Linked DNA regions of Xenopus tropicalis. The protein of the gene in region 1 interacts with the protein of each later gene in a pairwise test. Links are inferred from orthologs where the notes say so. Each region holds a gene or a part of one and is shown in the gene's direction. Other genes may lie near its edges.

The links.
Region 2: the proteins of hsd17b14 (region 1) and snapc3 interact in binary tests that used the Homo sapiens proteins (3 or more experiments, as listed by UniProt). The two-hybrid records come from large-scale screens. The link is inferred for Xenopus tropicalis from reciprocal best matches to the Homo sapiens genes HSD17B14 and SNAPC3.
Region 3: the proteins of hsd17b14 (region 1) and ddit3 interact in binary tests that used the Homo sapiens proteins (3 or more experiments, as listed by UniProt). The two-hybrid records come from large-scale screens. The link is inferred for Xenopus tropicalis from reciprocal best matches to the Homo sapiens genes HSD17B14 and DDIT3.

The regions. Positions count from the first base shown.
Region 1 is NC_030683.2:114,399,271-114,402,770, reverse strand, and holds part of hsd17b14 (17-beta-hydroxysteroid dehydrogenase 14), read left to right. Parts: intron 1-1,312; coding exon 1,313-1,417; intron 1,418-1,546; coding exon 1,547-1,614; intron 1,615-3,500. UniProt on the Homo sapiens protein: Catalyzes the NAD(+)-dependent oxidation of L-fucose, yielding L-fucono-1,5-lactone, which rapidly converts spontaneously to L-fucone-1,4-lactone. Can also act on D-arabinose and L-galactose, with lower catalytic efficiency. Does not use NADPH.
Region 2 is NC_030677.2:123,988,930-123,992,890, reverse strand, and holds the start of snapc3 (snRNA-activating protein complex subunit 3), read left to right. Parts: upstream 1-1,161; 5' UTR 1,162-1,256; coding exon 1,257-1,465; intron 1,466-3,961.
Region 3 is NC_030678.2:140,584,251-140,588,537, reverse strand, and holds the start of ddit3 (DNA damage-inducible transcript 3 protein), read left to right. Parts: upstream 1-1,487; 5' UTR 1,488-1,591; intron 1,592-4,287. UniProt on the Homo sapiens protein: Multifunctional transcription factor in endoplasmic reticulum (ER) stress response. Plays an essential role in the response to a wide variety of cell stresses and induces cell cycle arrest and apoptosis in response to ER stress.

The DNA.
Region 1 (3,500 bases):
AGAGCAATGAGTTTAGGATATCTGTATAATAAGCATAGTGGGTAGTATTTTTTAAAAAGAGAAGAAAGAGACACTTTCCATGTACAACATTAAAACTTTTTATTTTATTACAGTTTAAATAGAGAAGAGCAACCTTGTACTTATACAGTATACTGTAAGAATGAACAATATCGGATATATTTGATCACATCATAAACTGCACTGCATTCCAATCAATATTTGCTGAATAGTGAACATGATAATATTGGGCTTTATTGTTCACATTTACTTTTTTATTGCAATGGCACACAGGGAGATTAGTTGCCCACGGTTAAATCTCTGCTACTGCGGGCAACTAATCCCCTAAAATGCCTTTCCGCCAGCAATAAAGAGAATCGCTGGTGGGAAGACGCTTTTTTTTCTGAAGTTTCCAGTGCAGGGTGGAGATGAAGCACCACATATGCACCCCACCGGCGATTTACTTTATTGCCCATGGGGAGATTTGTTGCCCATGGTAGCCAAGATTTAACCATGGGCGACTAATCTCCCTGTGTGACATTGCAACTACTGTCAACTACTGTCTTCTCCATTGCTTTTTTCCCACATCACCCTTTCTTTAACACAGGGACCCTCAACCTTTTTTACTCATAAGCCACACTCAGATGTAAAAGTGATGACGAGCCACACAAACATAAGGAATTTGCAGGGTGTTGCCAAATAAGGGCTGTGATTGGCATGACTTGGATTGAGATTGAGAAGTGCATCTCCTTGCTCCCTGTAAGCTATTGCTTTTTGAAGAGATGCTGATTATTTTTTTTTAGCCTTCTCCGCACTATAGGCCTTAGATGCACATCAGCTTTGGTCTGTTAATATACAACAGAGATCGGGCAAACTCCAGTCACATATTAGCTTGTTAAACCTAAGATATATTTACTTACTCCATATTTACCATATTTACTCACTCTTGAGTTTGCATTTCATTTCACAGAACAGACCTGCATATTTGCTTTTACGCCTCTTATACGTTACTATTTGCTGCTCAATATAGACTATAATTAGAGTCAGGGTATTTTAGCCCCTGATACCCTGGAGTTTATCCTGGCTGTACATATTAATGTTTGCCTAATTTTACAAGACCATAAAAAGCTTATGCTTGATTGGCTGCTACTGGGGTGGGGCAAACCCTTAATCACCTTACTATATAACCTACAAGGTGACTGCATAATAATAATAATAATAATATCCATTAATGTACTTTTATGCAAGTTTTCTTTCATGTGCAGGAAATCCTTTCATCTGTTCTTCCTTAAAAATGGCTCTTGATGTGTTTCAGTATGCTCTGCCGCACCTGAGGAAAACACAAGGGAACATCATCAATATATCCAGCCTGGTTGGTATCATTGGTCAGAAACACGCTATCCCTTACGTGGCCACAAAGGTATGTCTTCTCCTGCCATCTTGTAAGAGTGGGTTCTCCTTTATGGATGCTGGAAGCTGTAGCGTGACAATTAAATTGAACCAATACTGTTCCCTTGACTGATGCTTACCTGGATTTATATATGTACAGGGTGCAGTCACAGCAATGACAAAGGCAATGGCGGTGGATGAGAGTCGGCACAATGTGAGAATTAACAGGTAACCTCTGCACAATGAGCATGCATTGATACCTTTGTTGTTCATGGAATAACCAAGTAGTAGTGTCCCTGGGTGGGTGCACACTGAGGGATATTACTGCTCCAACACATGTGCCATAGGATTCAGAGCAAGGCTTTTTGTAAGGATATACCTGAGAGAATTGCATAGTTTGTGTGCCTGGTGTGTAAGTATCAGGCTCAGCCTGGTGGGGCTAGTATCCGGGCTAGTGGCCTGGTGGGGCTAGTATCCAGCTAGTGGCCTGGTGGGGCTAGTATCCGGGCTAGTGGCCTGGTGGGGCTAGTATCCAGCTAGTGGCCTGGTGGGTCTAGTATCCAGCTAGTGGCCTGGTGGGGCTAGTATCTGGGCTAGTGGCCTGGTGGGGCTAGTATCCAGCTAGTGGCCTGGTGGGGCTAGTATCCAGCTAGTGGCCTGGTGGGGCTAGTATCCAGCTAGTGGCCTGGTGGGGCTAGTATCCAGCTAGTGGCCTGGTGGGGCTAGTATCCAGCTAGTGGCCTGGTGGGGCTAGTATCCAGGCTAGTGGCCTGGTGGGGCTAGTATCCAGCTAGTGGCCTGGTGGGGCTAGTATCCGGGCTAGTGGCCTTGTGGGGCTAGTATCCAGCTAGTGGCCTGGTGGGGCTAGTATCCAGCTAGTGGCCTGGTGGGGCTAGTATCCGGGCTAGTGGCCTGGTGGGGCTAGTATCCAGGCTAGTGGCCTGGTGGGACTAGTATCCAGGCTAGTGGCCTGGTGGGGCTAGTATCCAGCTAGTGGCCTGGTGGGGCTAGTATCCAGCTAGTGGCCTGGTGGGGCTAGTATCCAGCTAGTGGCCTGGTGGGGCTAGTATCCAGCTAGTGGCCTGGTGGGGCTAGTATCCGGGCTAGTGGCCTGGTGGGGCTAGTATCCAGCTAGTGGCCTGGTGGGGCTAGTATCCAGCTAGTGGCCTGGTGGGGCTAGTATCCAGCTAGTGGCCTGGTGGGGCTAGTATCCAGCTAGTGGCCTGGTGGGGCTAGTATCCGGGCTAGTGGCCTGGTGGGGCTAGCATCCAGCTAGTGGCCTGGTGGGGCTAGCATCCAGCTAGTGGCCTGGTGGGGCTAGTATCCAGCTAGTGGCCTGGTGGGGCTAGTATCCAGCTAGTGGCCTGGTGGGGCTAGTATCCGGGCTAGTGGCCTGGTGGGGCTAGTATCCAGGCTAGTGGCCTGGTGGGGCTAGTATCCGGCTAGTGGCCTGGTGGGGCTAGTATCCAGCTAGTGGCCTGGTGGGGCTAGTATCCAGCTAGTGGCCTGGTGGGGCTAGTATCCAGCTAGTGGCCTGGTGGGGCTAGTATCCGGGCTAGTGGCCTGGTGGGGCTAGTATCCAGCTAGTGGCCTGGTGGGGCTAGTATCCAGCTAGTGGCCTGGTGGGGCTAGTATCCAGCTAGTGGCCTGGTGGGGCTAGTATCCAGCTAGTGGCCTGGTGGGGCTAGTATCCGGGCTAGTGGCCTGGTGGGGCTAGCATCCAGCTAGTGGCCTGGTGGGGCTAGTATCTGGGCTGGTGGTCTGGTGGGGCTAGTATCCAGCTAGTGGCCTGGTGGGGAGCAGTTAACTTTGTGTAACTGAAATACCAGGGCCCATTTTGTGTCCCAGTCCGGCCAAGAATGAATAAGGAAAGCAGTGTAAGTTATTGTAGCGGGTGAGTACTCAGTCCCCCCACAGACACATTACTAGGAGGACATGGCTTAGCTGGGTGAAAATTCCTTTTCCTTTTTTATACATTTGCCCCTTTGCTTCACCAATAAGTAAATGGATAACTGATGAGAGTGCTGTTCTAAGCACTTTCGCATTTTACATTCGTAACTTTTTTTTAGATATTCCAAGATATTAAGGGAAGTTCCAGGAAGTAAGGGAACAGC
Region 2 (3,961 bases), on another chromosome or scaffold:
TTATGTTCAGTGCCAGACAGTTTTTAATTCTGGAACAAGATTTAGAGCTCTAAATAACAAACAAAAAAATACTTGCTATTTTTCATGATATTGGACACCGACATTGCTTCCTTTGGTCAATCTGTACTGCACACTGCTATAGTGTATAATACCAACCCTTGTGTGTCAGAGCTTTGGTATATCCTTGTGTTGTTCATTACAAATGTGGAAGGAACAGGAAAACTATATCATTCTATCATTATTTTCATTTACTGGACTCAAACATCGTAGTGGACAATGACTTCCCAACCCTCTTAGTAGGGGGGATAGTCTTTTAGTCAGATGAGATGGAGCAGATGGGAAGGGAAGGTCCTTTTATAAATTTGGCATTTCCAGGAAGGGGAGTTTTAGTCTTTTTGGGAAACAAAAATTGGGTTAAGTATGATAATATTTTCCTTTTCCCACCCCCAGGAAATTGTTTTTTGTTAACTTTTAAAATTTTACAGAATGGGCACTTCTTTCCAGCTTTTCAATTGGTCTTCATTTTTTATTTTTATAACTTTTGAATTATTTGCTTTCCTCTTCGGACTCTTTCCATCTTTCAAAAGGGTGTCTCTGACCCTGACAGTTAAACTATTCCTCTGTGAGACTACAATTTCATTGTTATTGTTACTTTTTATTACTTTCTTTTATTATCTTTCTATTCAGACCCAGTTTCTCATTTAAGCCACTGCCTAGCTGCTATGGTTAATTGGACCCTAGCAACCAAACTGGTGAGTTGCTGTATATAAGGCTAAATAATTTAAACACCACAAACAATAAAAATGAAGATCAATTGCAAATTGTCTCTTAAAAGAACTTCCTACAACATACTACAAGTTACTTTAAAACTAAACAACCACTTCATAGAATTAAACATGATATGGTTGATGAAAAATATAGAACAGGTGATTCGCAATACACCATAGCTAAACCACAGGCGTCTTAGCTTTAAGCTTAGCACAAACATTATAAAATCACCTAACCCACATTTTGATTTTTGGTTTGATGTACGGAACGATTTGAAACCAAATAATGTCACCACTTTACAAAAAAAAAAAAAACTCTTACGCTTACGTTGTCAGTCAACAGTTCAATAGTGCTCGGAGGCCTGCTGGTACTTGTAGTCTATTTCACGCCTCCCAGTGCTGTCGCCAAATGGAAACAAGTACTACAATGCCCAGGATGCATTTCGTCCGAATGGACGTTCCGAAAACGGGGTTGAATACGGCAGGACAATGGATGAAAACATTCCGGTGTATGAAGTAACTGATGCGAACACGCGCCTGATTCATTTAGGTTCCTTCGGGGACTTGTGGCGAGAAAGGTTACAGAGTTGTGATTTGACCTTAGCCGCGGACGCCGGGCCTATACAGGATAATAGCTATGTGGCCCAGGATCTTGGCTGTACTGAGGAAACTGCTGCAGAACTTCGGCTGATTTGCGGGTAATCTAGACTTCTTTTTGCGGACAGAGTGACTAGCAGCGCAGACTTTATACTGCGCAAGCGTAATAGGAACGATAATTAAGTTTTCATTTAAAAGCAGCCAGAAAATAGGACGCTGCGTGGCTATCATCACTACTAGCATTGTGCACCTGTAATGACATTTGCCTCTGGGCACTGTAATATTTTATTTTATGGGCTATGTCAGTAGTACTACCTGCACCACTTCCTCATATAAATGAAACTAAAATCATTAGGGGCTGTCCATTTGCTAGGCAGATACATGTGCAGAGTGTATTCATCTGTAACTGTAGTGCGCATGTGCCAAGGGGTACCTAGGAGCAGGCAAGAAGGTGGTGGCTGCGCACTGTAGGGAATTATACTGGTCTGGCACACACAAACCAATTTGTGTGAGATGCCTAAACTCTGGGGTTTACTAACACTGTGCTCTGCTTGTCAAACAATATGAACCTGGATTAGATTAATTTAGAGTGAGTCCAAAATGGCAGTTGACCAGTGTGAAAGTTATTTAGATTAAACTGGGTCTAGCCAACTGAGCAGCCAATTGGACCATGTATGAAGTCAAAATGACTGCTTCCATAACAGATATGAGGAGTCATTTAATGACGCGCAAGTACCTTTAATGAAAGTGATTTTACGTGCAGCTCGCAGTGAAAATTGGGCGGATGTCGATTAAGTAGTTTAAAATACCCCTTCGGGCAAGGAGCGCATTGGCTCATTGATGTGGCCCTCAACCTGATGGTCTGCATCCCTTTAATGTGATTTGAACGTTTGGCCCTCAATCCAAACAATTGGATCAATCCTATATGCCAAACTTGAGGTGGGTATATCGTGGAAAAATCTGCTTTTTGATGACCTTGCCATACAAGCAGATATTTTAGTGTAGGACAGCTTTGAGCTGGATCACTACAGCGGGGATACATGACGATGCAGTCCTCTTTTTGACAGGATTTTAAAACCTGTTTGATATGTGACTGATTGTTGGCCAGATATTGGTCAGGTAGGCCAGTCAGGAGGCCCCAAACACAGGTAGATAAGCTGCTGACTGAAGTGGATGAATCGACAATTTGTTGTAGTGCCTAGATTATTACAACTGGAGACTTTGGATCTTTCAATTACAGACTAGAAAACCCACTTGGTCTCAATAGTGAAAATGATGAAACCTGCTCCTTCAGATAAACTTGCTTTTCAATGGTTCAGTCAGTCATTTAGAACATAATAAATACAGTGCAGTGTTTTATTTTTTAGCACAAACATCTACATTAAAAAAAATGGTCTTTTAATTGTTATATATTCTACCCTGCTGCTGTTTTTACTTTATTTTTCATACTTCTTCTTTTAAGATTTTTTTTCTGCTCAGCTCTTTTCTGCTTCTCATATCATATGGCCTATAATGTGTTTAACTTGCTTCACATAATTGTACCTTTTCCCTCTCCTCCTTTCTCTCTAACCTTTTCACTCTACTCCTTTTCCTTAGCAGGATATACAGGCACACTAAAGTGATTTGTGCTTTGAGTATGGGTCAGCACCTGATTGGTTAATTATTTAGACCATTTTGATTGGTCTTTTACCTTTGGTACCTTCCTATGATTGTTTGTATTGGCTGTTGTACTTTGTATTGTGATTGGTTATATAAAAACTTTGTACAAGGGATGTGACTTTTATCCTGTAAGTAAGTGCCCCTTAGGATTTATAAAGCCTGGTTTGTTTAATGCCTAATAAAGGTTATATTTTTATCTAATAAGTACTTCAGTGCTGCTTGGATTTTTTAATCTCACTCTTTAGTTTTTCATTGGTTATTACCTATAACTCACAGACTGGTGTTTAAGTCATATCCACTGCTATTTGGATTTTTTCATTATTTTTCCAAATTTTATTTTATTTTTTCATTTTTGATGCAAGGCAAATGCACACTGTCATCTACGTCATCTATTTCTTTATAATTTATCACCCCTAGTAAGCAAACCACTGGGTCCACGATCTGTCTTGTGCCAGGGAGGTTACATACATTTGTTGGAGATATTTGTACTGATAATTTCGACAAAAGACAGACATAAGATGTGTCTGTAGTGTCTTCACCCCATTGCTTCTGATTGAGACCTGGAATGGCCTGCTTCCAGAGGTGGTTGGCTTGGTCAGAGGGTGAGTTGACAGTTTCCATAATTTCTCTGTAGTTTGTAAACTGGAGTTTAGCTAGAGTTTTCCTTGAGAACTATAGTGTTAAATTGTGCCACTAGGGCATGTCTGGACTGCATAAATGCACCTGTGGGTTCTGTAGCTTCCCCTGCAGTTCCTGATGTGTGGGGAATTATGCATTGGGCACAAAGTCAGACAGTTTCTGAACCCCAGGCGAGGCCAGTGGGGATCTGGGTGTGTAAAAGCCTAAGTACTGAAATGATGCAACCCATTTTAAGCGTATGTTTAGGTGTGGAAGGGCTAGAGTTAAAACTGTACCTGTCCTGCTCTTTGTTCCAGTTT
Region 3 (4,287 bases), on another chromosome or scaffold:
CACATGCTGATGGAAAGCAGGGAGGAAAGCACTGTGTGACTTACTGGTTACCAGGGATAAAGGGGTGAGTGTTACTCTTGTGTCACCCATTTGCCCAATAGCACTTTCTCACTAGAAGAGGCGCCTTTCCAGTTTAATAACCTCAAATTTGGTTAAATAAATGAATGATGATAATGGTGCAATGCACAACAATTTTAGATACAGCAGAGAAGCAGCAAATTTAAAGAGTGGTGGTACATTAAAGAGTTATACATCTATACCCAATGCCTAGCACTAGCCTCAGTAATTAAAACAGTCAATGCTTAAATAACTCGTTTTTCCATCAGGAAAACCACCATCCCACCTGTTACTGCTTCAATATTTTCACCTTAGTATTTTTGCTATTTTAAATTGATGCTGTTCAGCTAACATCCGCTGTCCATCTACATTGACACTATCAAGTGACTTCATTTGACCACATTAACTTCTATTACACCTAAGGATTCCATTGTTTTTCATGATTTTTTTCATACATATTTTGTACAGGTTTTTTAATATAGACTTTTCATGGATTTTTTTTTTTTAAATAAAGATGTATTCATTATGTACATGGCAAACTGGAATAAAATTATTTTTGAGTAATGAACTGTATAATTAGATACATTATAAGGTGGTATTAAGAAGCATATTTATTTCAGTGTGTAAGCCAACATGACAGGTAATGTTGCCCATGGCAACCAATAAGCAATTAGATTTTAATAATCACAAGTTAGAAACAAAAGCAAATATCTCATTGGTTGCTATCGCCTCAAGTCATGCTGGCTTATACACTATAATAAATATGCCCCTGTGTGTTTTAGTTGGTATACTAGCCAGCTACATTTCTAAAGTGAAATTGCTTTAAATAATTGGAACGATAAAAAACCCGGCACCTTATACAATTTTGGCGTTAGGATTAGTCGCTAGTTGTTTCTAGCAACGCAGGTTTTATATCTCTCTGTATTACTTCTTTAGGTTTAGTTCTCGCTATTTATGTTGCTTTCTTATGATAAAACCAGGTTGCGGACAAGGTCGTACAACCTGAAGGTGAAAAGCAAGCTTGGAAAGTCCCTCGGGTTGGGGGAAGGCTTGGCCCCAGCTTGCCAGCTCTTGCATCACCCACTATGACTCACTCTCGTCTCGTGATTTCCAACAAAACACTTCCGCAACACACCCTCTGACTGCACAACAGCATACCCAAGTGTCTCCGCCTTTAGGCTTCCGGTTGACGGGCCTCTGCGTTTCATACCTCGTTATGCTTTTTCAGCTAGCCTTCTAATTGGCTGTAGAAGGCACCTGGGGGCTGGCAATAGAAGTCCTCCCCGGAACGTCTGGCTAGAGGCGAATGAGGAAGCAATAGGATAAGGGTCGTGTACGCTAGATTGGGATCGACGATCTGATTGGCTAAGGCAGCGAGCTATATAACGCGGCTTCTTCGCACATATCCTCAGTCGTTTTGCTGAAGACGCAGACGATGTTTAACATGAGCCCACAGTCTCTTAACGTGCAACCACAAACCAGCTCACGCTGTCGCTTTATTTGTCAAAAGAGAACAGACCCTACGTGGAGAAAGGTATTGTTATTTCTTGTGTTCATATTGATTACAGCGAGTTTTGGACATAGGTATCGGCATCTCCTATGTGTGCCTTTAATCCGGCTCTAGTAAGGCAAGCGCACAGTGACGTTTTTTTGTGACCATTTTATTATTCCAACGCTGTGCAGAGCCTGAGTCTATAAGATGAGAGATGTAGTTCATCTTTAGTGTTGATACTGGTAAGACTGTTCGTTCTGGTATGGTCCATTAGGGGAGATGCTCTATAATTTCTTTAGAGTCTGTTTTGTTGGTTGGGGCGAAATGTATGTATGTATGTATGTATGTCTTTATTTATAAAGCGCTACTTATGTACGCAGCACTGTACAGTAGAATACATTAATACAAACAGGGGGTTAAAGATAATGGATAAATACAAAGTATAACAATAAATACAAATAAATACAAGGTACAGTTGCAATAAGAGTCAGAAACAAGATGAACGAGGTCCCTGCCCCGTAGAGCTTACAATCTATATGGGACCAAAAGGGCAAAGAGTGCTCAGTTCTAGAACCTACGGCATCCCAGGTATCTGAGGCTTATGAATGAGTGGAGGCAGGGCCAGTCAGTGCTGGTTAAGCCTGTCCCAGAGCCCACTCTCGCACTGCTGCCGGTTACAGAGCCCAGGATTACAATACAGCGGTGGCTCCCCCTCCCTTCCTCCCTGTTGTCTCTCAGCTGGAGCAGCCAGGCAGACACAGCAGCCCAGCAGCAGATCCCACTCTCCAGCTGTCCGGACCCCAATGTGACTCCCATCACACAGCAGCTGGCATAGATTAAGCACTAAAGCTGGCCACATGGTGGTCGCACAAAAGATCGTTCCAACCCTCCGCTGACATTCAGGGCTGAAACGGCAGATATGGAGGTACAAACAACAGGATTTCTACCTCCTTCTGTCGATTCAGCCCTGAAGGCAGATTTTGCTCAGACGCCTTCAATGGCTCCCGACTGGAGTGTCGACCGATATCCGCAACCTTCTGCGATATCTGTCGCCTTGCCGAGTTGCCATACACGCACCAAATATCGTATATTATCGGTGCGTGTATTGCCTGACTTCATAGCCATTTAACTTTATCCCACTCCTGGTGCTGCTGTAAGGCAACCAGGGGGGTTGAAATCAGCCAAGGCATTTATTAAACCCGATAAAGGAGAGTACAGGCACAGACCAGTAATAAAATGCTTGTCCTACAGGCATATTCATTTGCCCTTTTCCAAGGACTGTCTGTTAATGATTCCTTATCTCCTAAACACTGGAGCATACCATATACATCATTTGATAGAGCTTGTCACAGAATAGGACAATGGAACACTGCTGGCCAAAACAAACGGCAATTCAGTTATCCAAGCTGTCGTGATTTCTTATGTTTCCATTTTCTGCTGCTCAATTTCCTCAATTTTCCTCTCACGGGATGTAAGTTGGTGATCCATTACCTGCCCTATATTATTGTAGATGGTAGAATCTAAAACTATAGAAATTGCACATGCCAGATGAAATTTAGGCTTCCACCCCCCTGGCCAAACTGAACTAAAATATTTAAGAGCAAAATTAAAGTCATGGGCAGAGTCTTTAACAATTAACTAAATGCTCTTTCTGAAGAGTCCAAAGAGCTTGAATTGACTGCTTAAATCTGCCTGTGTATGGCCACCTTTACTCACAAAATGGATATTACAAGGCACCCATAGTTAAACAGGTGCTGAGAGTGACTGTAGAACCAACAACAAGATGATAAAATGAAACCAATCACTATCTTGTTTAATGTCCATTTGTTTAACTGAATATAAATACAGGCTGCTTTCCTTCAGGGCAATGTCACAAACATTTTGTTCCCCTTTGCTAAATCTGCGCTGCTCCAGCTGACAAAATATCCCAAATTTCCTTCCCAGCGGCAGTAATATGAATTAATGGTGGGAAAACCTAGTGAAGTTTTGTTGCTTGCAGTAGAGCAGATTACAGCGGCCAAAAAAATCCCTGTATAATTCCGCTTGGGTCCATTCCCACACTAAAGGTTCCCATACATGGGCCGATTGTAGCTGCTGATATTGGTCCCTTGGACCGATATGACAGCTTATCGGCTCCTGTAGGGGCAGAAGTGACGGCCATACCCGACCGATATCTGCCCCAAATTGGCCATATATCGATCGGGCCAGTTAAAAGATGCGGTCCCCGAACTGACTGCCCCATTGCCGCCATTATAATTAGATTGTTTGGCCCCAGAGCTAAACGATTGAATTGGCCTACATGTTCCCTGATATTGCCACCTGTAGGTGTGGATATTGGTTGAAGATCTGCTCACTTGGCGACCTCGCCAAGCGAGCGAATCTTCACGTGTATGGGCACCTTTTAGATCTGTGTTCGGTTAAGGGTGTTTAGAGGGGAATTACCTTTTTTTTTAACCGAGCTGGCAAAGTTTTATAGTTGTTTTATGGTGCATGTTGTGTGAAGGTTATTTGTATAAAAAAAAAAAAAAATAAAGACTAACCTGTAACAGTAACCAGTCTCGAGGCCTATTGTATTCAAGATCCTAATTTAGTAAGCACTACCTGCAGATTGGTTGCTATGGGTTACTAGATCTAGTTGCCATTTTGATTACATTGCCTCCTTATTGCTTAAGATCTCACTAAGACTTAAGCTGGCCAAACCAGTACTACATTTTGTATGATTTTCAGTCCATGTGTGG